Pelodiscus sinensis: one gene and its partners. The protein of the gene in region 2 interacts with the protein of the main gene of each other region in a pairwise test. Links are inferred from orthologs where the notes say so. Each region holds a gene or a part of one and is shown on either strand. Other genes may lie near its edges.

Region 1 (7,274 bases), about 1.9 Mb from region 2:
TGAGCATCTCTGAACATGGGATGATAATAATTAAGCTCTCACTGGAGTTTAAATGTGTAAAAAAAATACATTTCCCGTAAGTGTTAGAGGTTCAGCATGCAAGTACGTTTCAAAATTGGGACACCTCTTTGAATATATGCTTTTAGATGTCCTAGTGTTTAGTAGCAACACAAATAACGTTACATATTTATTAAAACAGCATACTTCAGTTGCCCACCAGCAATAAGATAATAAGATTTTTATTTTGCTGGGGATGGGAAATCAGATGGAAGTGGTAAAAATCGTTTAAAAACATTTGAAATTTCGTTTTCCCTCCTCAGTTTGAAATATCAGCCCTAAAACAAGCCTATATTGTGATCACCAGCAAAGCAGATTAGAGGCTAGGATTTAAAAACATAGAAGAAAGATTTAAAAACCCACAGACAGAGAGAGGCACTAAATGGTAGAGTGCGAACACAAGTTGCAAAGGGGAAAAACATGAATGAATAAAGAGGGAGGAGCCTGGGAAAACCCCTCTGCAACACGGCCGCACCGAACAAAGCGCTGCACACGTCCATCCACAAGCTGGGGGGGGAGGGACTGCAAACCGGGACTGACCCGGGGAAGAGATGCATGGGGTGGGGGACAAATGGGAAGGGCTGGGGGAGGGGGAAATCACCGGGATGCCTGCCTACTCCTTGCCACAGCCCAGCCTGCCTGGGGGCGCCTCACGCTCCCCGGCTAGGAAACAGACACGCGCGGCTGGAACAGGAGTAAAGGCGGGTTTCACACAAACCGCAGCCCCCCGGCAGTGAAATGGGGGTGGGGGACGACGGCAGCTGGAGCCAGGCCTACTGGTCCCTCCCTCCCGCCCGCCCCCATCTCCCTACCGTGGCGTGCTTGGGCGCCGCCGCGGCTCAGGGGGCGGCTCCCCGGGACCCGCTCTGGGGCTACACCCGGGTCCCCCGCGGCCAGGCTGCTCCGGGCGGGGGGGAGGGTGAGGGGGCTGGAGTCGGCCCTGCTGATGGCGGCGGCAGCCGCTAGGAAACACGGCGCCTGGGAGCCTCCTTCACTTGACAACCCCGGACAAACACAACCCGGGGCTGGCCTCCTCCCCCGCCTCAGCCGCCGTGCAAAACGCCCCCCACCCCCGCCCTACCCCGCTCACATGCACCGCCCCAGCATCCGGGCAGCCCCCCAACACACACCCCTTCCCCCAGACGAGACTCCCGCCCGTCCAGACACCCACCGCTCCAGCAGCCGCGCCCCGCCCGCACGGCGCCCCCCGCAGCCACCCAGCCCCCAGCAGGGCGCCCCCTCCCCCCGGGCAATGTCTGTCGCTCGCTCGGTCTGTCTGACACTAGTCCCGCCCCGGCGCGCAGGCAGCAGCGGGTGATGCTCCATGCACAGGGCGGGCTGGGCAGAGCCGCCCGTGACCCGGGCAAGGGCCGGGCTGCGGGGGGGGAGGCGCCCTTGGGGCGGGCTGCAGGCAGGGGGCAGCGGGCGGGCCCGGCTGGGCATGGGGTGGGGGGGGCGGTTCAGGCCAACTGGGCCGGGCCGCGGGCGGCGCAGCCATTGGGGGCTCCCTGCCCGGCCGGTCACTCACGGGGCGCAGCAGCTGGGCAGCGCGAGGGGAGGCGCGCGCGGCGGTGGCGGCGGCTCCGGGGCTGGGGCGGGGGAGGGGGAGGGGGGGTGTTTTACCTTCTCTCACTTTCTATTGCAGGAAGCGGCCCGGTCCAGTGACGTCACCGGGTCTCCCGGCCCCGCCTTCTTCCCTGCCTGCATGGGAGGGGGGAGGGGTCACTGAGGGGGTTTCCTCACAGGCTGGTGGGAAGGGACAGAAGTGAAACTAGACACGCGCCCTGGCTCACGTTGAAAAAAACTTAATCACATAAAATCCCCCAGCCAGTAAGAATTCCCTCTCCCCAGTGCCCTCCCCCATGCCCACTCAGCAAAAGTGACTTCGTGCCAGATGGCACAATGCCACGCTGGGCCTGGCCATGCCCTGTCACACCAGGGCAGATGTCGCGTTAGCCTGTGCCCCAGGGTAGTCTGCACAGTACTGGGTCCGGCTGTAAAGTGCCATGTCAGCTAAAGTCATATTAACATCACAAGCAGACTGACCAGCACGACAGCGGCGCCATGCAGCTTTGTGTCCCACACATCAATTTATTTGTGCCAGACTTCACAACAGTGTTGTCAGACTTTGGGGAGAGCCTGAGCTGATGTTGCACCATGCCACACTATGTTAGAACACGTGAGATGGTGCGGCACCAGGCTAACCTGTATCGGTGTGTGGGACCGGACATCTTATTTGGTCAGTGGGCAGAACTGGAGACATTTTCAGTCATGAAGCAGTTAATCCCAACGATTAATCCCAGCAGCAGCCACAAACTGTTAAAGTCTTATTAAAGAAAACTCTGTTTTTCCTCGGAGGAGACATGCCCAGACAGGAGTTGATTAAGAGCCTAAAGAAAAATTATTACAAATCCATTTGCATTCTCTCTCCCACCCCAACAATGCAATGCCGTGGGCACGCAGGTGCGTGTCGCACTCCCCCCTATAGCGGCCCATCCCGCCAGCACAGAGAAGACACACAAAACATACGCGCACACACTCCCATGTATGCACATAACTGGGGCTGCTGCTGACGCGGAGATCCCGGAGGTTCCTCCTTGCTGCCACTGGCAGGTCACACATGCTGCGTCCTCTTTCTCCTCTCTCTCTCTCTCTGGGGTTTCCCGTTCCCTAGCAGCTACGCCTAATCCCCTCCTCCTTCCTATTGCAACATACCGATAAAACCTCCCCATACCGAGGACACCCCACCATCCAACCCTTCCCATACAATTTCCCCCCAACGAGATTAAAAGAAGAAACTCACCCAATGCCCGCACTCTTTGCACATTCTTTCCCAGTTAACTTTTAAAATAAAGAGACAAAAGCCGAAAGTAAAAAACCTCCACTGCTGGATGTGGGCGTGAGAGGAAATACAAGGAGGAGGTGCCTAGTGCTCTCTACTGCTGCTCCCCTTTTTTGGCCCTTGCCTAGGGTTTTGCTGTTCTAGCTGTACTGCGCTGATTGGTTTACTCCATCAGCTGTTTATATAGATTTTGCCTGTGGGTCATTTTGAATGGGGAAGATCCGCGGTGAGGGATTCCTCCTTCTCTTGTTACAGGGAAGCAAAAGGAGGGGGGTTGCCATCGCCGGTTAAAAACAAACCGAAACAAAACCCTTCCCTTTTGTTTAAAACCAGAGAGCTTTTTAAAATTTAAAATACATTATGCTAAGCACTGGACCTTTTAAGTTTCTGTTGCCAGGGGAATTTTACATGAGATTTTACTTTATATCACATCAGGATCCAGCACATTTTTAACAGAACAAATCTAATTAAATGACCTCCCATTAAGTCTTACATTGTTTACTTGTGTTTCTTCAGCTATTTATATCCATCTGTTGTGTCTTGTCCTAGACTGTAAACCTTCCAGTGCAAGAGCTGACTTTTTGTTATAAATCTATACAGTGTCATCAACACAAGATCTTGGTCTAGGACTGGGCTCTCCCTCTGTGGTACTTACATAGCCTCTATTAGCATAGTTTATGAGCACCTCGCCATTTTTAGAGTATTTGTCCTCACAGCATCCGTGTAAAGCTGGAAAGTATTATTATCCTCATTTTACAAATGGAGAACTGAGGTAGAGTGACTTATCCAACAACACCCTGGGAGTTAAATCCAGGTCTCATGAGTCTCAGACTAGCACCCCAACCATCAGACCAGGCATCCTCTCTAGGACTCTCAAGTGCTAATGGAATACAAATAATAATATCACATCCCTGGCAGTAATATGTGACATACAATGCCCATTTTTCCCAAAGGCATTGGATGTTTTGGGGTTATAGTATATTTGCAAGATCATCACATAGGTTATGCTATCACTTAGGTATAGTTATTCTTATACTTAAAGAGCTGTGCAGCTACATGCTGTCGCGCTTCACTGTAGACATTACCTGCACTGACAGGCAAACCCCTTCCTCATCTCAAGGGTGTAAAAAAATCCATCTTCCTGAGGCATAATTCTTCTGCAACTTAATTCTGGCTGCACTAGGCTAGGCTGGTATAGTTACATTTCCCAGGGTTGAGAAATCCTGAAATATATTGCGATGCCAATATAAGTTCCCAGAGTAGACCAGTCCTATGCCTGTGGGTGAAACAGTGCTGTCAACCTATGTCGTCTGAATGAGATGCTCTTGGAAAGCCCATTCACCCACAGTGAATACAGAGATTTCCTGGTAACAGCCGGCACTAACTCATCAGTATCTGAAATTTTAACGTTTATGAAAAAACTGTTTTAACCCTTTGGGCACAAGTGTAATTTTTCAAATGTGAACCAATGAAGTGCTACATTCCAGAATCTGTAGACAGACAGCTCCTAGTGTCTCTACTATGCTCACAGGTTTCCCAAGCAGCATAATGAAATTGGAGACTATTACTTTAAATCCAGGAAATAGACATAAGCCTTACAAGAGCAGCATCAATTTCAGATTGCTGATTGTTGAATCACTAGCAGCAGAAGCAATGGAGCTATTCACAAAACAGGAGAAGATGAAAATAGCATACATCCCACCTTCTAGCCCATCACTGCTTCTGGAACTCAGAAGCTGCAGTGGGACTAGGTACCTACATCCTAATTTTAAAATGAATTCTTCAAGCAGTGTTCAGGGAGAGCACCATGACAGGAATCCTAGTACACTTCCAGGAGATAGGGAGTTAAATGAGCTTCTTAGCAAGGATTTGCCTCTAGACCCTTGCTGTTGAGATCCTTTCACATCTGTCTCTGGCTACTAGATTTAGTCATCTAGCTAACAGGGAATAGTAACATGGCTGGAAAAAAATTAGGAAATCTGGGTTCTGATTGTTGATATGCTGTGTGACCTTGAGCAAGTCACTTCCTCTCTTTCTGCTCTGATTTTTCCACAGTAAAGTAGAAAAATATGCATATCCACTTATGTGAAACACTTGGAAATATAAGGATGAAAAGTGATATGGAATATTCTTAGTAACAAGTATCTGGGAACTTATTCTGGCCCTGTGAATGAGGGAGATATCAAAAAAATAATCAGTGAAATGTTAAATCTCTCACTGAAACACACTGCAAACTTCTTCTCACAAAACTAAAATACTTTAAAAACTGCATCTAAAATTAGTCCCATACATAAGAGTCACCCTTCAAATGGGTGAGTTGAGAGAAGGGCTACTAAAGCATATTTTACTTTTGACTCTCTATTGCATTTTCAAAAGGGACTAATTTTTAAAATTTTGATAACTTCCCGCTAGATTTATGCATAAAACATTCATATTTGACAATAGGTGATTCTGTATAAAGGTACTTTTATAATTGCTAATTGTTATTATTAATATTGCATTAGAACCTACAAGTCCTAGTCCTAAAACAGACGCACCTTGATTCTACCACAGAAAAGTATGTGGAAAGTTTAGAAACGGGAGAGGCCAGGATATAACATAAAACTTTAAATAAATCAGCATTTACCATGCCCACAGTATTTTACTTTACTGCAGTTCTTATTAAATATGGTGAGTGTTGTGGCAAATTTAACTACCTTAGGCAGCAAATATTAATATTGCTTATATCGTTCACTGCAACATGGCATATGCATTAATCAAGCTTAGATTTGTATTTCTCTCACAGTCTTTAGTCACTCAAAACATATAAAAGCACAGACTCCTTGGATAGTGGGGGGCTTAGGCCTGATCTAGACTACACAATTAAGTCGATTTAAGGCAGATTCCATTAATCTAACTCAGTCAGCCTTGTCCTGCCCGATGTAAGTGCCCTACCATGCCTATGTAATAACTCCAACTCTACAAGAAGTGTACTGCTTATGACAGTGGAGTGAGGTTGACACAGTGTCGCTGTAGACACTGCTTTACTTACATCAGATATTAAGTGCCTTGTTAATTTCATGTTAGGAATGTGAAATTGATAAGGAAGGCAGGCAGCTAGAACCTGGCTATCCCTGGCTCTCAGTTGGCTGCACCCACCCAGCTCCCCATTCACGGAGGCAAGAAGCCCAGAAGCTTGTGTGACTGCCCCCTTACTCCCAGCAGAAATCAGGGGGGTTAGGAATCCAGGGAGGCAGCTGGGCTCCTTGTGCAGAGCTGCATGGAGCTGAGAGTCTCTTCAGTTGGTGGAAGTGCTGCTGGTCAGGACGTGCACCACTGACAGAAGGAGGTCAGTGTGGACATCAGCCACCACAGTAATTACTGCATTGGCTGTAAATTGACCTAACATAGTTTGATTTAAGTCTGTAGTAAAGACATGCACTAGGCAGGCATAGAATAAACCAGAATATAATTAACTGATATGCCATTATATCTTAAATCAGTAAGGCCATGTCTAGACTACATCCCTCTGTTGGCAGAGGGATGTAAATGAAGCACTTTGAAAGTGTAAATGAAGCAGGGATTTAAATATCCCATGCTTCATTTGTATAATTATGTAATGGCGCTCTTTTGGAAAAAAGTGCTATTTCGAAATTGAAACCGCAGTCTAGACACGGTTCTTTCGAAAGCAGAGCACTTTTTCGAAAGATCCTGTAAACCTCATTTTGGCTACGTCTAGACTACAGCCCTCTGTCGGCAGAGGGATGTAAATGAAGCACTTCGAAAGTGCAAATGAAGCAGAGATTTAAATATCCCATGCTTCATTTGCATAATCACGTAATGGCGCTCTTTTGAAAAAGCGCTATTTCGAAATTGAAACCTCAGTCAAGACGCGGTTCTTTCAAAAACGGGGCGCTGTAAATCTGAGGTTTACAGGATCTTTCGAAACAGCGCCCCATTTTTGAAAATCATATCTAGACTGTGGTTTCAATTTCGAAAGAGCCCTTTTTCGAAAGAGCGCCATTATGTAATTATGCAAATGAAGCACGGGATATTTAAATCCCCGCTTCATTTTCACTTTCAAAGTGCTTCATTTACATCCCTCTGCTGACATAGGGATGTAGTCTAGACACACCCTGGCTGTGTCTACACTGGGCCACTTATTCTGGAAAATCAGCTGCTTTTCCGGAATAAGCTGCGAGCTGTCTACACTGGCCCTTGAATTTCCGGAAAAGCAACAATGCTCTACCGTACAAAATCAGCCGCTATTCTGGAAAAGCTATGCTGCTCCCGCTCGGGCATAAGTCCTTATTCTGGAACACTGTTCCGGAAAAGAGCCAGTGTAGACAGCCCAGTAGTCTTTTCCGGAAAAAAGCCCCGATCGCGAAAATGACGA
Region 2 (7,582 bases):
ATTCTTTAGCACCAGAGGCTGTTGCTAATCCCCTCCTGGAGGAGCTAAATGGTCTCTTTGCTTTTAGCCAGCCCCAGATCTCTCTTACAGGGACTGGAAGAGGATGAGACCAGGAGAGGCTCTGCAGACGGTGTGAAGGGGGAAAACGGGACACCCAGGCCTCCCCTGACCTTCCCGCCCCCCCGGCACTAGCCCTCCTCACTCACTGCTGGAAGTGCCAGCTGCTGGTGTCTCCAGCCGGCCTGGGCCGTGAGTGCAGCGTAGTGGGTCCGCTGCTGAGCGCGTTCCCCGTCCCAGCGCCGCCTCCTCCCCCGCCTCCCCGCTTCATTCACCCCTCCGGCAGCCAGCCTGACCCAGCCCGTACTACACGGCGCAGCACGGGCCGGCCGGCGGCGCTCGGAGCCCGCACACACCCGGCGCCGCGCAAAACTCCAGCTGCTCTCGCTCGCCTGCGCGCCGGCTAATGCACCCGGGGCAGCCGCGGCCAGAGCCCGGCAGCAGCCGAGCGAGCCTGAAAACGCCACCTCTCCCCAACGCGCAAACACACGTCCGCTCTCCTCCCCGTTGCGCGGGGGGGAGGTGGGGGGAAGGAGGTTGACTGAAAGCAACCCAGACCCAGGGGCTACGGCTGTCTCCGTGCCTGTACCCCCTCCTTCCCCCTGCCTCCTTCCCCCCCTCCCCCCGGACATTGCTTGCATGCACGGAGTGCGATGCATTCCAGCCACCACCCCCCCCAATGTGCCTCCCCTCCCCCCAGGATCGCCAAGCCATTTTCTGGCCTCCAGGCTTCCCAGAGCTGGGGGGTCGGGCCGGGCTGCAGTAAGGGAGGCTGAAGCACCCTCTGTGGGGTGGCGAGTGCAGTCCACTCCCCCCCCCTGTTTCTCTCCAGCTGGAAAGCACCGGGGGGGGGGGGGGTTCCAATCGAAACGAGAGAAGCAAAAAAAAAAAAAAAAGCAGAGAAGGAATAAAAAGCCACTTACTGCCAAGTGTCAGGGGAGATGGGGGCAGAGCGGGACTCCACATACACACACACACACACAGTCTTGCTAGCTGATCACAAGGCGAGGGGGGGGATGTTGGTTTGTTTGGTTGCTTTTTCCCTCCTCCTTCCCCCTGCAGTGACACAGGTCCTGGATGTCTCCACCACTGCCTGTAGTAGAAATGATGTCTGCGGTGCAGCGCTCTCTCCCTCTTCTCTCCAGTATGTAAATGTGTAATAGAAGCCAAATATGGAGCAGTTGGCTGCCTCTGCAACAGCTCAAGGATCCTACTTCATGCAAAAGGGACGGGGGAAGGGAGGAGAAGAGGAGGAGGAGGCACGGCAACACTTTGGCAGGCGGCCAAGAGAGCCACACAGATTATTGCATACGCACCACAGAGCCGGGCCAAACCAGGCTTAACCCTTTACAGGGCTTCTTCCCAGTTTAGAGGAGACGGGGATGTGTGTGGAGGGAATTGCAGGGGGGTGAGGCTGCCCCCCCCACACACACACACACACTCTAAAGGCAACGTTTGCCTTCAAAAGCACAATTACAAAAAATACTCAGCAGCCTGTGGCTCAGGACCCCTAAGTGGACCGTGACCCTGGTTTAATGGGTCACCTGGGCTCAGATTATACTTCCTGAGGCCAGTGCTGAAGCACAAGCCACACTGCCCAAGGCTGAAGCCCTTTGGGCTGTGTCTTCCCTCCCCCAGCCCCCCGCACACATGCACACACCAGCCTGAGATGGTGGGACTCAGGCAGACCCATATGGACGATTGGTGGTGGCAGGCCCTTTGCTTTGAGGAGCCCCATGGCGGCCACCTCAACCATCCTATGGACAGGAGGGACCGGGGAGCCTTGTGCAGGGTGGGCAGCATGGGTCACCCCCTTCTCCCGCACTCATCGCAGCAGCAGGATTCAGAGCAGCCCAGCAGCCTGCTCTGCTCCACAAGGCTGCACTGTCCCAGCCAACTGTGCTCTGCTTTTCAGCAGCAGTACGAAGCAGACTGCCCTGGCCCTAGGGCACTCTGCTGCCCACTGCCGCAGAGAAGCAAAGCACAGCAGGCTGGGGGCGGAACAGGCTGCAGGGCCACTCTAGCTCCCACTTCCAGAATGAGTGGGGAGTGACTCCTGCTGCCACTCACGGGAGGGGACAAGTGTGTAGAGCAGGGGTTGGGCTCGTGGAATGGACAGGGTGGAGCCTGCAGCATAGGGGTTGCCCTGGGCTCCACACTTGGGGCAGTGGGGGAGGGATTGCCCCAGGCTCATGCCCCCCCCCTCCTCGTCCGGGACAGCCCTGGGCTCAGACTGTAGCATTGGTCCCCCTACTCAGACCAGCAGGGCTCAAGCAAGCTCAGGCTTTGGTTCCTGGAATGTGTACTAGTGCAATGAAGTTTGAAAACCCCTGTGCTACTCTAACGCCTCATGTCCATGGGGATCTCATAGCACTCTGTCAACAATAATGAAAGTGATCAAAGGAGAGCCTGCTGGAGATGCCTGCATGCTGTCCTTTGGAAGTGGCAGAGAGTGCTAATTTAAGGGACTGCTGAAGATCAGCCACTCAGTGAGGAGTTGAGGGGGTCATTTTCCTAATTAGTATTATTCCTCCAGGGACAAATCCTCAGTTCCTATTGGAGTTGCTTGGAAAAAGATGCCTACCACCTAAATCAAACCCCAAATGACTTTTACTCAGATCCCTTATTACACGGCAAGAACACAGGCAGATGTGGACTTTGTATAGCCAGATACTTTTAGGTGTTGACCACGTTCTGGACTCCCTAATACACACTATGCAGATTACACTTATCCTGAGGCTGAACCTCTTCCAACTATTCCCCCAAGTAAAGCAATTTACCACTTACCTCTCCATGAGGCTCCGGCCTCCACTTGTTCCACTGTTCTGTTCCCCTCAAGAAATGACACAGGCCTCAGCAGACCCATTACTATAAATCGCAAGCGGTGGGTGGGAGAATAATATGCTCAGAAGCAAGGAAGAACCCAAAAGCATGTCTTCTCTGTTAACTCCCTGGGCTGGATCACTCCTGTCTATGATTTCCAGAAGAAAACAGAAGAGAAAGAAACTTGTGACTTCAGTTGACAAAGAGGAACAGAATAGCAAAATTCAAAACTAAAAATATTCTTGAAGAAGTGACAAAATCAAGTTCCTTACCTCCTAGAACATTAGGACGCAAGGTGGGAGGAGGTATGAAGGCAGTGGGTCCTGAAAGAAACAATGTCTCTGTGCCTGAGCATCAGCACACATGAGGACATAGCATGAGAGCGTCTCTCTTAGCTGACACACTAGAGATTGAACCAGGGAACCTTCAGAACTAAAGGCATAAGCTGATACAGCTTGAGATAAAGCTCTGTGTTTGAGGATATAAAGACACATGCCTTTCTAAATACAAACAAGCTAGGCAGTTGCCTAGAGTGACAGATTTTGGCCTGTCTGTCCCCTCCAGTCATGATGCTGGGGTAATTGGGCCAAGCCTGAGAGGCACCATGACCCTGTGTGCCAGGTCACTATGCCACTTGCTCAGATTTGGCCCAGCTGCTCCTTCATCATGATGGAGGGGTAGCTGGGCCAAATGTGACTGATGTGTAAGGTGACACACTGACATGTTGCTTAGGATGGAAGAACAACCTTGGACACTTCACCTCTGGATCAGCACAAAGGGAGACTAGGAACAAAGTTATCAATATCAGACAGGTAGATTAACTAGTGTTGGTCTGTATCTGAAAAAACAACAAGGAATTCTCTGGCACCTTAAAGACTAACATTCATCTGGACATAAGATTACTTGTCAGAGGCATACTTACCAGTGTGTTTCAATGCCAGGGTTGCAACATACCCTCACAATGCACAAGCAGTTTCTGATGAAAAACAAAACCATTCAAAGTGGGCAATGGGACAAACCAAAAATGTGATCAGGTATAAATTTCTCCTGTATACTATGAACATTATGCATATGCTGCAGGGTGCTGTGCTGGGCCTTGTGGGATAGGTGCAATAATCCACAGGCCATGCAATGCTTGTAAGGAGTGCTGTGCATGGTCCCAGAGTAGTGTTTGTACCCAGAATGGGATGACTACTGGTGACACTCTGCAACTTGCACCAGTTCACTTACATCTGGACAAGTTATAATATGGCACTTCTCTAGTGTAGACACGCACCAGTGGCTACATGTAAAAAAATGCATGACTCTAAACTGTCAGTTTCTGTTGATGGGTCTGCAAGGTAATTCCTTATACAAAGAAATATGCGGTATATTTGTAACATAATAGCTGAAAAGATTATAATAAAAATATTCAAAGAGGCAATGGTTTTGATCAATAGGCAATAGAATAGTGTATACCATATAAAATAGATTTACAAGGCATAAGGATCCTTTATTATTACAATGACTGAAACTTTAGTTAAGAGTCCATATGTAACCTGATGACATTTTCTGTTTAATGAGATCTTTGGGGAAAAGAAACAGCAACAGGCCAAGACATTTGGACAGACATGCAACTCAGCACCTCAAAGCAGTGAATCTGCAACAGCAGCAGCAGAGCAGACAGCAACATCATCCTCACCCTGTTAATGCAAGATTCATTGATTGAATCAAAGGCAGGGAGGGAGAGAGACTGTGGATTACTGAAAATCAAGTGAAAGCATTAGTCAATTCTTAAAGTGATCTGGAAAAGTGTAGTGTGGGGGGGAAAGGTATATTATAATCTGGGAGAAGCAGCTTTGGGGGGGCAGTGGTTAAAATGCCCCCCACAGTGATCTGGCTTGATTAAAACAATTTTTTTTATTGACTGGGTCTGCAATCCCTTGCAATCCTTCATCCCATAAACACACTTTAAAGCACTGCCTCTAATGATATTTCAGCCCCTTCAGCTGGACACAGTTTTGAATGTGCTGTATTCTCCCGCTCCCGCTACCTTTTTCATTTCTCTAGTTCAGGGTGTTACTTCAGCAGAAAGGAATCTCTCATTCTAATATGTTCACCTTGCCAATAGGTGTGGCACACGCAGATAAAAAGTAGCCACATTCAAGCTGAAGCAAACTCAGAGCAACCTCCTCCTTTGCAGCAGATGAATGTGAGTCCGGTGTACACCTCTATTCTTTAGCTGCACAGTTTGCTGCAGAAACGCCAGGACCGGCCCACAACATTTTGGCAACTGAGGCGGGGAGCTCAAATGATGGCCCCATGCCCTCTTGCTTGGGCCAAAACTTTGAAAGTTCTCAATTCTGCCTTCTTCCTGTTTTACTCCTCTCATGATACTGCACAGAGAATACATATGCACCAGCAGCAGACACAATTTTCTACACTCTGAGTCCTAGGGTATGTCTAGACTACACCCTTCTGTCGCCAGAGGGATGTAAATTAGACATGCCAACATTGCAAATGAAGCGGGGATTTAAATCTCCCATGCTTCATTTGAATAAAAATGGCCACCGCGTTTTGCCAACTCAGCAATTTGTCAGCAAAAAGCATCTGTCAAAACGGGGATCGGGCAACAAAGAAAGCCTTTGTCGGCCAATCCCTTATGCCTCCTAAAATTAGGTTTACAGCATTGGCCGACAAAGGCTTTCTTTATCACCCGATCCCCATCTTGACAGCCGCTTTTTGCCGACAAACTGTTGACTCGGCAAAATGCAGTGGCCATTTTTATTCAAATGAAGCACGGGAAACTTAAATCCCCGCTTCATTTGCAATGTTGGCATGTCTAATTTACATCCCTCTGTCGACAGAGGGATGTAGTCTAGACATACTCCTAGTGTTGCCCCCCGCCTCCCTACAGTTTGACACCTGAGGCTGCCGCCTCAGTTTGCCTCATGGTAAGATCAGTCTTGAGAAACTCTGCTGCAGAATTGTGACTCCAGCTCTTAAATCTCTCAGTATATTTCTAGACCTCATGACTAACGCATAAATTGATGCAGTGTTGTCTTCCTAAGTCTGCAGACAACCTTAAAGCAGCTTTTGGGAAGTGCCACAAATCGAAACTGCTAGGTAGCAGTAATTCCAACAGCTCCTTACCTAGCTGCTGCTCTTTCATCATATTCTGAGAAATTCTCTAGGGCAGTTATAAGCTGTCATCACAAAAACCTTTAGCATACAAAAACCCCAAAATAGGAAGATTGCTTAAAGTAAACTGAATTTAATATTAAAATAAGCTATTGCACTAATTGCATTGTTAATTTTGATATTTGATGTATTACACAGCTACATTAAAAAAAAAAGCTGCAGCAGAATTTCCAGCCTCCACAGCAACCAGGAACGTTGCCACAAAGCACATGTCCAAGTTACCACGAAGTACAAGAACCCTTAATTAATGCAGAAGAGCTGGGAGACAGGGACATAATGTGACCTTTCCAAACAACTGGCACAAAAGGCCGGATTAATCCTTCAATCTTTATTCAGGCAAAATGCCCTATCGACTTCAGCTGGGAGTTTTGATAGAGTAAGAAGTGCAGACCTCAACCTCAAGGGAGGCAGAGTCATTTGCTTCAGAAAGTGAATGTTAACTACTCCAGGATGAAGACTTAGGGTTTGCTTCTCTGGCTCTTTGGAACTTTCTATAGTTAGTACTTCAGAGGAGTAGCCGAGTTGGTCTTTAACAGGAATAACTTTAAAAACAACAAATAGACTAGTCACTAGTAGCACCTTAAAGACTAACAAAACATGTAGATGGTATCATGAGCTTTCATGGGCACAATCCACTTCTTCAGATGACAGGAGTATTAGTAGTCCAGATCCAAGAATAGAATTAATGGACACAAATCAGATATCCAAAAAGGCAATACACAAAAACCTGTTGGAGGACACTTTAATCTACCTGGCCACTCATTAATGGATCTCCAAGTCACCGTTTTATTTCAGGCCAGTTCCACAAGCCAAATACACAGGGAAGGATTGGAACTTAACTTCATTTACAAGTTTAATTCTTATGCCAATGGTATAAGGACATCAGCTGGCTCGCACACTATCTTCCACATCCTATGACTTAACCTAACAACGAAACAACGGAGGTGCTAATTGTTCTTATCAGCCTATTGTAACTATTTGAACCATCTACTCACTGTCTCTTTTTAAATTTTTTTTCTCCTTCTCCTCCCTTCTTCCCCCCCTCCACTCCCGTTCCCTTTATTCTTGAATCTGGACTTCTAATACTCCTGCCATCTGAAGAAGTGGGTTGTGCCCACAAAAGCGCATGATACCATCTACATGTTTTGTTAGTCTTTAAGGTGCTAGTAGCGTATTTGTTGTTTTTTAAGTTATTATAGTCAGTACAACAGACAGAGCTTTGTCTGTGCAGAAGACAGAGATTTCTCAGAAGCTGGTCCAAGACTTTGGAATTATTTCTCCCAAGACCTAAGGGCCACCACAAGCCTCAACACCCTCCACTTCAAGTTCCAGGCACACTTCCTTGACCTTGCCTCTCTTACATAAGCACAGTAGTAGGTGAGTGTGTGTTTATATATGACAGATGTTAGGCAAATTGCTTAATGCACTACTACTAGAAGGTGTTCAGATACCAAAGGAATGAGCACAATATATAAACTTCTATAGACCAGAACAGGCTACATCTGAAGAGATTAGGTACTTT
Region 3 (8,001 bases), on a different chromosome or scaffold from region 2:
TTTTTGTTTTAAAGCTAATAAAAATCTTTTTGTGACCAAACTGCTTGTTAACAGTAGTGGAAGATCTAGCTTTTTAATCTGAAAATGCATGAATAGCTGTAAAAATATGCTCTCTTTCAGGTTTGGGCACTTGTTCTGTGTTGGGAGACACTGTCAAAAATTAAACTATGTGCTCTTCTTTTCAAAACTTATAGAACTCCCTGTGGTAAGAGGTAGGAAAAAAAGGAATTTCATTTATTTCTCACTGAAGTTTTATGTGATCACATTTACACAGCAGTTAATTTTCAATTGATTTTTAAGAGATGGAACTTAATACAAACCTAACAAAACCAAGTTTGTACTTATATGATTTTATCATTTGGGAGTAATAATACCTAGCTTTTACATAACACTTTTCATTATATCTTCTCTCAAACTGCTATGTAAAAGGAAAATATATTTTCAGTCCTTGGAAAAAATATTTATATGGCACAGATAGATCTAGTTAAGGTTCTAAATCCTTTTATTTCCACAAGCAACTTGAGGCTCATAACCTAGTATTCAAAATTCACTGAAGGACTAAACTTTGCACAATGTCTCAGCCTAAGAGACAATTTTGTTCACAATGTTTGAAGGAAATGGATTTGACCTCTTTTAAAGTAAAATTCAAATTATGTATCCTTCTTCATTCAGTATTCTTAAAGTTCTTTACAAACATTAACTTGTTTATGACTTTTCCAGGGTCATATCAAATCATAAGCAGAACAAGAAAAAAATTAGGAGTCCAGGCTTTTACTCTTACATGAATTCTAAAGAGGGGGAGGGGGAAATAATTCTGACCACTTCCAAGCCAATTTTATTTTTAACTATCAATCTGTTTTGCTTTTAAGTTTGTGCTTTCAACATATGGTTTCCTCCAGCCTAAAACCTTCTGATGAAGCATCCCTCTATACCAAGAGCTTCTCAGGCCTACCTAGTTCAATACATATTATTTCAGAGCCTATGAAGCTCAGTAATAAAAACTAGCCTGACATTTGTGTTTGTCCAGAACTCTGAACATTTAAAACTAGCCTAAGGACTGTTATAATGTTCTCAATAAGGCTGCATGCTTCTTGGGGGGGAGAGTGGGGAAGAGAGAAGAGTGCCAGACTGAGAGTCTTGCACACTGATCCCAGTGAAAATGGCCATCCCTGATAAATCCATTCATATACAGAACCCAATGAGTGTCTTTTACTGCGAGCTAAATACCAATGGAACCAATATTTGACAGTTAGCCTTACCAACATGCATTTGGCACCATAGACCTCTCTCACCTCTTAATCTGGCAACAGGATACACCAAAGCATTCTGAAATAAGACTGCAAGGCCTTCTTTGTGACAGTCCTTCATTGTAAGACCACACTACACAAGTGTCTTCACAGGGACCCAGAGATGTCTCAAGAGAACACTGCCCTTTTGGGATCTGATTTACAAATAACACATTCTGTTTCCACGCATGTGGTGTTTCAGCCTCTGACGCTTGTCACAACATGCTTCCTCCAGAACTAGTAGCTTCCATGGCTTGCACAGACAAGTGGTCCCATCCAGTTGTGTGTGTGGGAGTCACTTATCTCACCTATACCTTTGTGTTTAGTCTCAGGCTACGTCTACACTGGCAGGTTCTTGTGCAAGAACAGCCGTTCTTGTGCAAGAATCTGCAGAGCGAACACACTGCCCACCCTCTCTTGCGGAAGATTTACAGTACGGCATGGTAAGAGAGGGCTTCTTGCGCACGAGCTACGCTATTTTTTAACAGGTGTAAGCCCTCTTGCGCAAGAGGGCAGTGTGGATACTCGGCAGGGGTTTCTTGTGCAAGAAAGTCCTATGGCTAAAATGGTCATCAGAGCTTTCTTGCGCAAGCGAGCCTCTACACTGCCATGGGCGCTCTTGTGCAAAAGCACAGCTTGCACATGGCACTGTGGACGTTTTCTTGCGCAAGAAGCCGCCAGTGTAGACATAGCCTCAGGGTATAGCATGGTATGGAGGAAGCTGGGGAAGTAGGGACAAAAGATAAGTGAAAAGGTACAATAAGAAGCAACTTGGGATGTGGCAGCCTCTCTCAAGCTGAGGCAGCAGCTCAGCCGCAGCGTAGGCGCACGCATCCCTTCCAGAGGGGGGAACCACAGGAAAAGGTCCTTCCATGTCTCTCGCAGCCCCAAGACTGTGCTCCTCTGCACAGCTCCCCACCAAGCTACGTGGGGACAGAGAGAACCTGATCACGTCAGGGCTGCATCCCAGACATTCAGTGAGCAGCCCTGCCCCATTCCAACAGGCCTCCATACCAACCACCCACCAATGGCGCTTGGCCTCCACCCACCCCATTTCCCCCCATTCTTCCTCCTGCACCATACACTGTGACCAACAGCCCTCACCTCCCCCAAACCCACAGTCCCCCTCCATGCACCAACCCCTCCCAGGCCACCCTACATCCCTCTGAACCCTCAATCTCCCTCCACGGACCCGACCCCTCCCAGCCCCCCAAACCTCCTCCATGTACCCTGACCCCTCCAACTCCCCCCCACAGCCTCCCTTCATGCACCCAATCCCACTGGGCTCCCCCTCCGATCCCCCAAACCCTCAGAGCCCCTCCATGCACCCCAACCCAACTCCCCCTTCAGCCCTCCAAACCCTCAGCCTTCCTCCGCACACCCGACCCCACCCAGCTCCCCAAATCCTCAGTCCCTCTCTGTGCACCCCTGACCCTGCTGAGCTTCCCCTAAACCCCCCCCAAAACCCTGTCCCCCTCCCATGCACCTGGACCCCACTCAGCTCCGCTAGTCCCCCAAACTCAGCCCCCTTCTGTGCACCCCAGCCCCACCCAGCTCCCCAAAACCTCAGACCCCCTCCGTGCACCCAACTCCACCGAGCTCCCCGTATTCCCCCAAACTCTGTCCCCCTCCGTGAACCCTAACCCCACTCAGCTCCCTTACAGTCCCCCAAACTCTGTCCACCTCCATGCACCCCAGCCCCACCCAGATCCCCTACAGCTCCCGAATACCTCAGACCCCCTCCGTACACCCGACCCCACTGAGCTCTCCCTACAGCCCCGCAAACCATCCGCCTTCATGCACCCCAACCCCACTCATCTCCCCCTACAGCCCTCTAACCCCGTCTGCCTTTGTGCACCCCAACTCCACCCAGCTCCTCTACAGCACCCCAAACCCTGTCCCCTCCATGCATCCCAACCCCACCCTGCTCCCCTACAGCCCTGTACCCTCGGTGCACCCAAAACACAACCAGCTCCCCTACAGTCCCCCAAAACCTCAAACCCCCTCTGTACACCTGACCCCAGAGCTCACCCTACAGCCCCCCCAAACCCTGTCCCCTCTGTGCACCCCAACCCCACCCTTTCCTACAGCCCCCCAAAACCTCAGCCCTCTCCATGCACCCCAACCCCACCCTGCTCCGTCCCCCAAAACCTCAGCCCCCTCCATGCACCCTAACCCCACTGAGCTCCCCCTACAGCCCCCCAAACCTCAACCCCCTCCATGCACCCCAACCCCACCCAGCTCCTCCTACAGCCCCCTCCATGCACCCCAACCCCACCTAGCTCCGCCTACAGCCCCCCAAAACCTCAACCCCCTCCATGCACCCCAACCCCACCCAGCTCCTCCTACAGCCCCCTCCATGCACCACAACCCCACCCAGCTCCCCTACAGCCCCCCAAAACCTCAACCCCACCTAGCTCCACCTACAGCCTCCCAAAACCTCAACCCCCTCCATGCACCCCAATCCCACCCTGCTCCCCTACAGCCCCCATGCACCCCAACCCCCCGAGCCCCCCAAAACCTCAGCCCCCTCCATGCACCCCAACCCCCCAAAACCTCAGCCCCCTCCACGCACCCCAACCCCCCAAAACCTCAGCCCCCTCCACGCACCCCAACCCCCGTGAGCCCCCCACCTCAGTCCCCTCCATGCACCCTAACCCCCCGAGCTCCCCAACCTTAGCCCCCTCCATGCACCCCAACCCCCCGAGCCCCCCCAAAACCTCAGCCCCCTCCATGCACCCCAACCCCCCGAGCCCCCCAAAACCTCAGCCCCCTCCATGCACCCCAACCCCCCCAAAACCTCAGCCCCCTCCATGCACCCCAACCCCCCCAAAACCTCAGCCCCCTCCACGCACCCCAACCCCCCTGAGCCCCCCCCAACCTTAGCCCCCTCCATGCACCCCAACCCCCCCAACCTCAGCCCCCTCCACGCACCCCAACCCCCCGAGCCCCCCCCAACCTCAGCCCCCTCCACGCACCCCAACCCCCCGAGCCCCCCCCAACCTCAGCCCCCTCCACGCACCCCAACCCCCCGAGCCCCCCCCAACCTCAGCCCCCTCCACGCACCCCAACCCCCCGAGCCCCCCCAACCTCAGCCCCCTCCACGCACCCCAACCCCCCGAGCCCCCCAACCTCAGCCCCCCCACGCACCCCAACCCCCCTGAGCCCCCCCAACCTCAGCCCCCCCACGCACCCCAACCCCCCAGAGCCCCCCCCAACCTCAGCCCCCCCCCCACGCACCCCAACCCCCCAGAGCCCGCCCCACCGCCCCGTCCGCGCACCCCCGACCCCACCCTCAGTCCCACGTGCCGCCCTCGGCCCCGCGGCCCCTCCCCCCGGCGGCCCGCGCGCCATTTCTCTCCCCGCCGCCCCTCAGGGCGCCGCGCCCCTCCCCCTCGGGCCCGGCCGCTGCCCCAGGGCGCCGCCCCCCGGCGCGGGGCGAACGTGGCGGGAAAGCGCTGCGCCCCCATCCCACCGCGGAGCCGCCGCCGCTCCTGCCCCATCAGCCACCAGCAGCGACTGAGCCTCCGCTCGCGCTCGGGCTGTCCCCTGGCCGGCTCCGCCGCTCGCCCATTGGCTCCCGCCGCGCTGTGCCCGCCCCATTGGCTCCAGCCGCCAGCTGCCGCGTCGCGGTTGGCCGAGCCCACTGTCAATCGCGGCGGAGGCCCCGGGAGTGCCCGCCTCCGCTGTTATCAGGTTAGTGTTAGCCGCGGTGCTGGGGCTCGGGATTCCAAGCGGAGCTGGTTGAGCTCTCAAAGTCCCTCACCGCGCTGGCTTTGGGGGGGTCTTCAGTGGTGTCAATACAAAAGAGGAGCTGAGCAAAGCGAGAGACTCCTGCTAACCAGGGACATGGACATGAAGAAAAGGATCCACTTAGAGCTGCGGAACAGGACGCCCTCAGATGTAAGCAATGCAAAAAAAAAATCCATCCCACATTTTGGGGGGTGCATTAAAATGATTAGAAAATGTAGGGGTGCAGCTGGAATAGGGAACGCCCGTGCCAGCGGCTGCTCAAGCCGCTGTTGTCCTTGAGGTGCCTACCGGTGTGTGGATGTCTCCGTGCACCTAAATTGGGGTGCCCAAAGGCGCACGCGTTATGGTCTAGGGGAAAACTAAGCTGCTCCCGAGTCTGCTGGTGTGAAATGCATTCAAGGAGCTTGCAAGGCATTAAATGAAAATAAGTTGGTGGCTCTCGCTGGCTGGTTTTGTTGGCAAATATTTGCACGGAGTGTTGGGCAGGGAGGGAGCGTGAGGGAGTTGAAAATGGTTTAGTTTAAAGTGCGTCTTCATTTCTTTGCAGTGATCAGGCAAGAGAGACTGGGGAGCCATATTTGTAACTTTGTAGTCCTCATGAACGCGCCCTTTCTCTCTCTCCCTCTCTCCAGATGCTGAGAAGACAAAAAATAGGATTTTTAAGCAAACCTTCAGTGGTTTTAAAAATCGGAGCCAGCTGACAATATCGCAAGCTTTTAATTTTTAAAAAATGCCCCAATAAATCCACTCTCCACCCTCTCTCCATCCACACACACACAAAAAGGCTGGATGTTTTTTTTTTTCCTTGGGGCTGGACTTAGGTTGTTGTTCAGCGTCTGACTGAATAAACGAGAACAAGAAAGTTTGTCAGGACAAAAATAGACCGTGGCTGGTTGGGCACAAATTATGCAGACAAGAGAAAACCTAGTTACCTCTCCTCCTTTTTCTGTTTGTCTCTTACTGTTACCGCAGCGATAGCAATCGAAAGGCGAGAGGGGTGGGGGTCACCCAACTTGGGCAGACCCCCTAACCTCTTGCCAAATGCACCCAAGGAGAAATTAAGGTTGCTTCTGTGTAGGGGTGGGTGTGGGTGTTCTCTTGCGATGGGAATTTGGTGTTTTGTGCTGCGCAAAGGTGACCGGAGGTCTCTCCTCCTTAATCATCGGTGCATGGGATCGTTGCAAGTGCCTTTTCCTACCTTGGGAAGTTTTAGTGCAATTAACACACAGTAAAAAGCCAGTCTCTGGGGGAAACCCTCCCCTCCAAAACAACCGATCCCACACATGTGGCCATGGATTTTTAGAAGCCAAGACCGAAGAGGGCATTATATAATGGCTTAAATACTAAGTTTATTTGCGGGGAAGGGGAGGTGTTCTCCGGCTCGGTTTCCCTCTTGCAGACCAGACAGCTTTGAAAGGCGCTGGACGTAGATAGGAGTGAATAAACACATACCTTTCCAGAAATCAAAAGTATCCCAGGGGGACAGGGGGAAAACTGCCCCGCACTTTTCCTGTCGCCAGTAAAATGTCTGACGGACAAAGCTGGGCGGATTTACGTAACCTTCGCTTTAAACTTTAAAAAGTATTGAGGGGGGAGGGAGGGAGTGTGTATGGAGCTGGCTAGTGGGTCAGACACCTTCCCTTGTATCTGAGCAGCAACACCTATTAATACAAAGTGCTGTGTGGTGTGTGTGTGTGTGTGCGCGTGTGTGTGCGTGCAGGTTGCTGCATGAGCGGGGCTGCTCGTGCTCCCTTGTGTTGCACCGCGTGTATGTGCCAGCTAGCTCAGTACAAGAGGGCTTGTTTGTGAGAGCCCTGCAAAGAGGACAAAGAGCAAACGGAGGAGCTTCCTAATGAGGGGCCTCTGTCCCTACATCTCTGCCGGGGAGCTGAAATATTCCTCCCTCCCTCCACCCCATGAAATCATTCCCAACTTTGTATCCTCGCGTTGGCAGCGCCACACTAAACCTGAAGTAGGACAAGACGCCATGTTTTTTCCATCGAGCTGCAAAGGAGAAAAAGGCTGGGGTATGAAACCAAGGCGATTTATGCTTTAGGATCCGTGCGAACACCCCAAAGGAGGGAATTCTTAAAGCCACCAGCGGTGCAGTTAGCAAACATTCCTTGTGAAATTCTGGAGGGACTTGAGGGGGGTTGCTTTAAATGGTAATGCGTGTTACAACCTAAAATGAGAAGCTTTCATAGGTCTGCAGTTTCCTATTAATGATTATTCGGTGGGGAGGAGAAATGCTTCGTGTTTTGTTCGAGGGCAGGTCGAAGAGGTGGAATGGTGGCGGTTAGGGCGGCTGACGGAAGCAATGAGGGCGCACGGAGGGCTCGCTCTGTGTGTGTGTAACATGACTGCCAGCATTCAGGTCTGCCATTTTGTCACTGTTTTGTCACAGAGGGGGGAGGGGAGAAGGTTGTTTTTAAAGAAGATAACAATCTTATAGTCCGATTCCCAGCCAGGCACGACTAACGGCGTGTTCGAACCCGAATCCTGCTGCAGTGGGGCTGATGTGGCCGGGGAGGGGTCTTCAGGGAGGGAGGCGGGCATGTATGGGTGCGTGTCTGTGCAAAGGGGAGTGCTCGCTTGTTCCCCTGCACAAACGGCTCTTGGGGAGCGCGGACTCGGGAGCCTGTATCTTTAAATGGAACCTTGGCGTCTCGAAATGGAACGTTGTGTTCGCGAGCGTTCCGCGGGGCGGTGACGAACGTTCGGGGGAGACTGGAAGGCCGGTCGCACGCTCGCCAGGAGCGCCTGGCTGCATCGCCCCGTTCCGCTCGGCGCCGGCGCGGGCTGGGCCTGGCGCCCAGCCTGGGCTTGTGCCTTGTCCCGTTTCCCACCCGAGCTGCTGCGCGGGAGCTGGAAGAAGCGAGCAGACCTAGCAGGTCGCATGCACAGTGGGTTCCGGATGGCGATACACTCACTGCCGGCTGCAGCCGCGATATGGATGAGTCGG

The links.
Region 1: the proteins of ATXN1 (region 2) and HIVEP1 interact in binary tests that used the Homo sapiens proteins (3 or more experiments, as listed by UniProt). The link is inferred for Pelodiscus sinensis from reciprocal best matches to the Homo sapiens genes ATXN1 and HIVEP1.
Region 3: the proteins of ATXN1 (region 2) and ANP32A interact in binary tests that used the Homo sapiens proteins (3 or more experiments, as listed by UniProt). The link is inferred for Pelodiscus sinensis from reciprocal best matches to the Homo sapiens genes ATXN1 and ANP32A.

What each region holds. Positions count from the first base shown.
Region 1 is NC_134712.1:109,735,575-109,742,848, forward strand, and holds the start of HIVEP1 (zinc finger protein 40), read right to left. Parts: upstream 3,014-7,274; 5' UTR 2,861-3,013; intron 2,708-2,860; exon of another isoform or gene 2,587-2,707; intron 2,561-2,586; exon of another isoform or gene 1,681-2,560; intron 1,233-1,680; exon of another isoform or gene 870-1,232; intron 1-869.
Region 2 is NC_134712.1:107,835,979-107,843,560, forward strand, and holds the start of ATXN1 (ataxin-1), read right to left. Parts: upstream 3,002-7,582; 5' UTR 2,845-3,001; intron 1,303-2,844; exon of another isoform or gene 981-1,302; intron 661-980; exon of another isoform or gene 414-660; intron 356-413; exon of another isoform or gene 207-355; intron 1-206. UniProt on the Homo sapiens protein: Chromatin-binding factor that repress Notch signaling in the absence of Notch intracellular domain by acting as a CBF1 corepressor. Binds to the HEY promoter and might assist, along with NCOR2, RBPJ-mediated repression. Binds RNA in vitro.
Region 3 is NC_134724.1:2,514,134-2,522,134, forward strand, and holds the start of ANP32A (acidic leucine-rich nuclear phosphoprotein 32 family member A), read left to right. Parts: upstream 1-4,988; 5' UTR 4,989-5,135; coding exon 5,136-5,189; intron 5,190-7,186; exon of another isoform or gene 7,187-7,201; coding exon of another isoform or gene 7,202-7,204; intron 7,205-7,295; exon of another isoform or gene 7,296-7,395; coding exon of another isoform or gene 7,396-7,413; intron 7,414-7,859; exon of another isoform or gene 7,860-8,001. UniProt on the Homo sapiens protein: Multifunctional protein that is involved in the regulation of many processes including tumor suppression, apoptosis, cell cycle progression or transcription. Promotes apoptosis by favouring the activation of caspase-9/CASP9 and allowing apoptosome formation.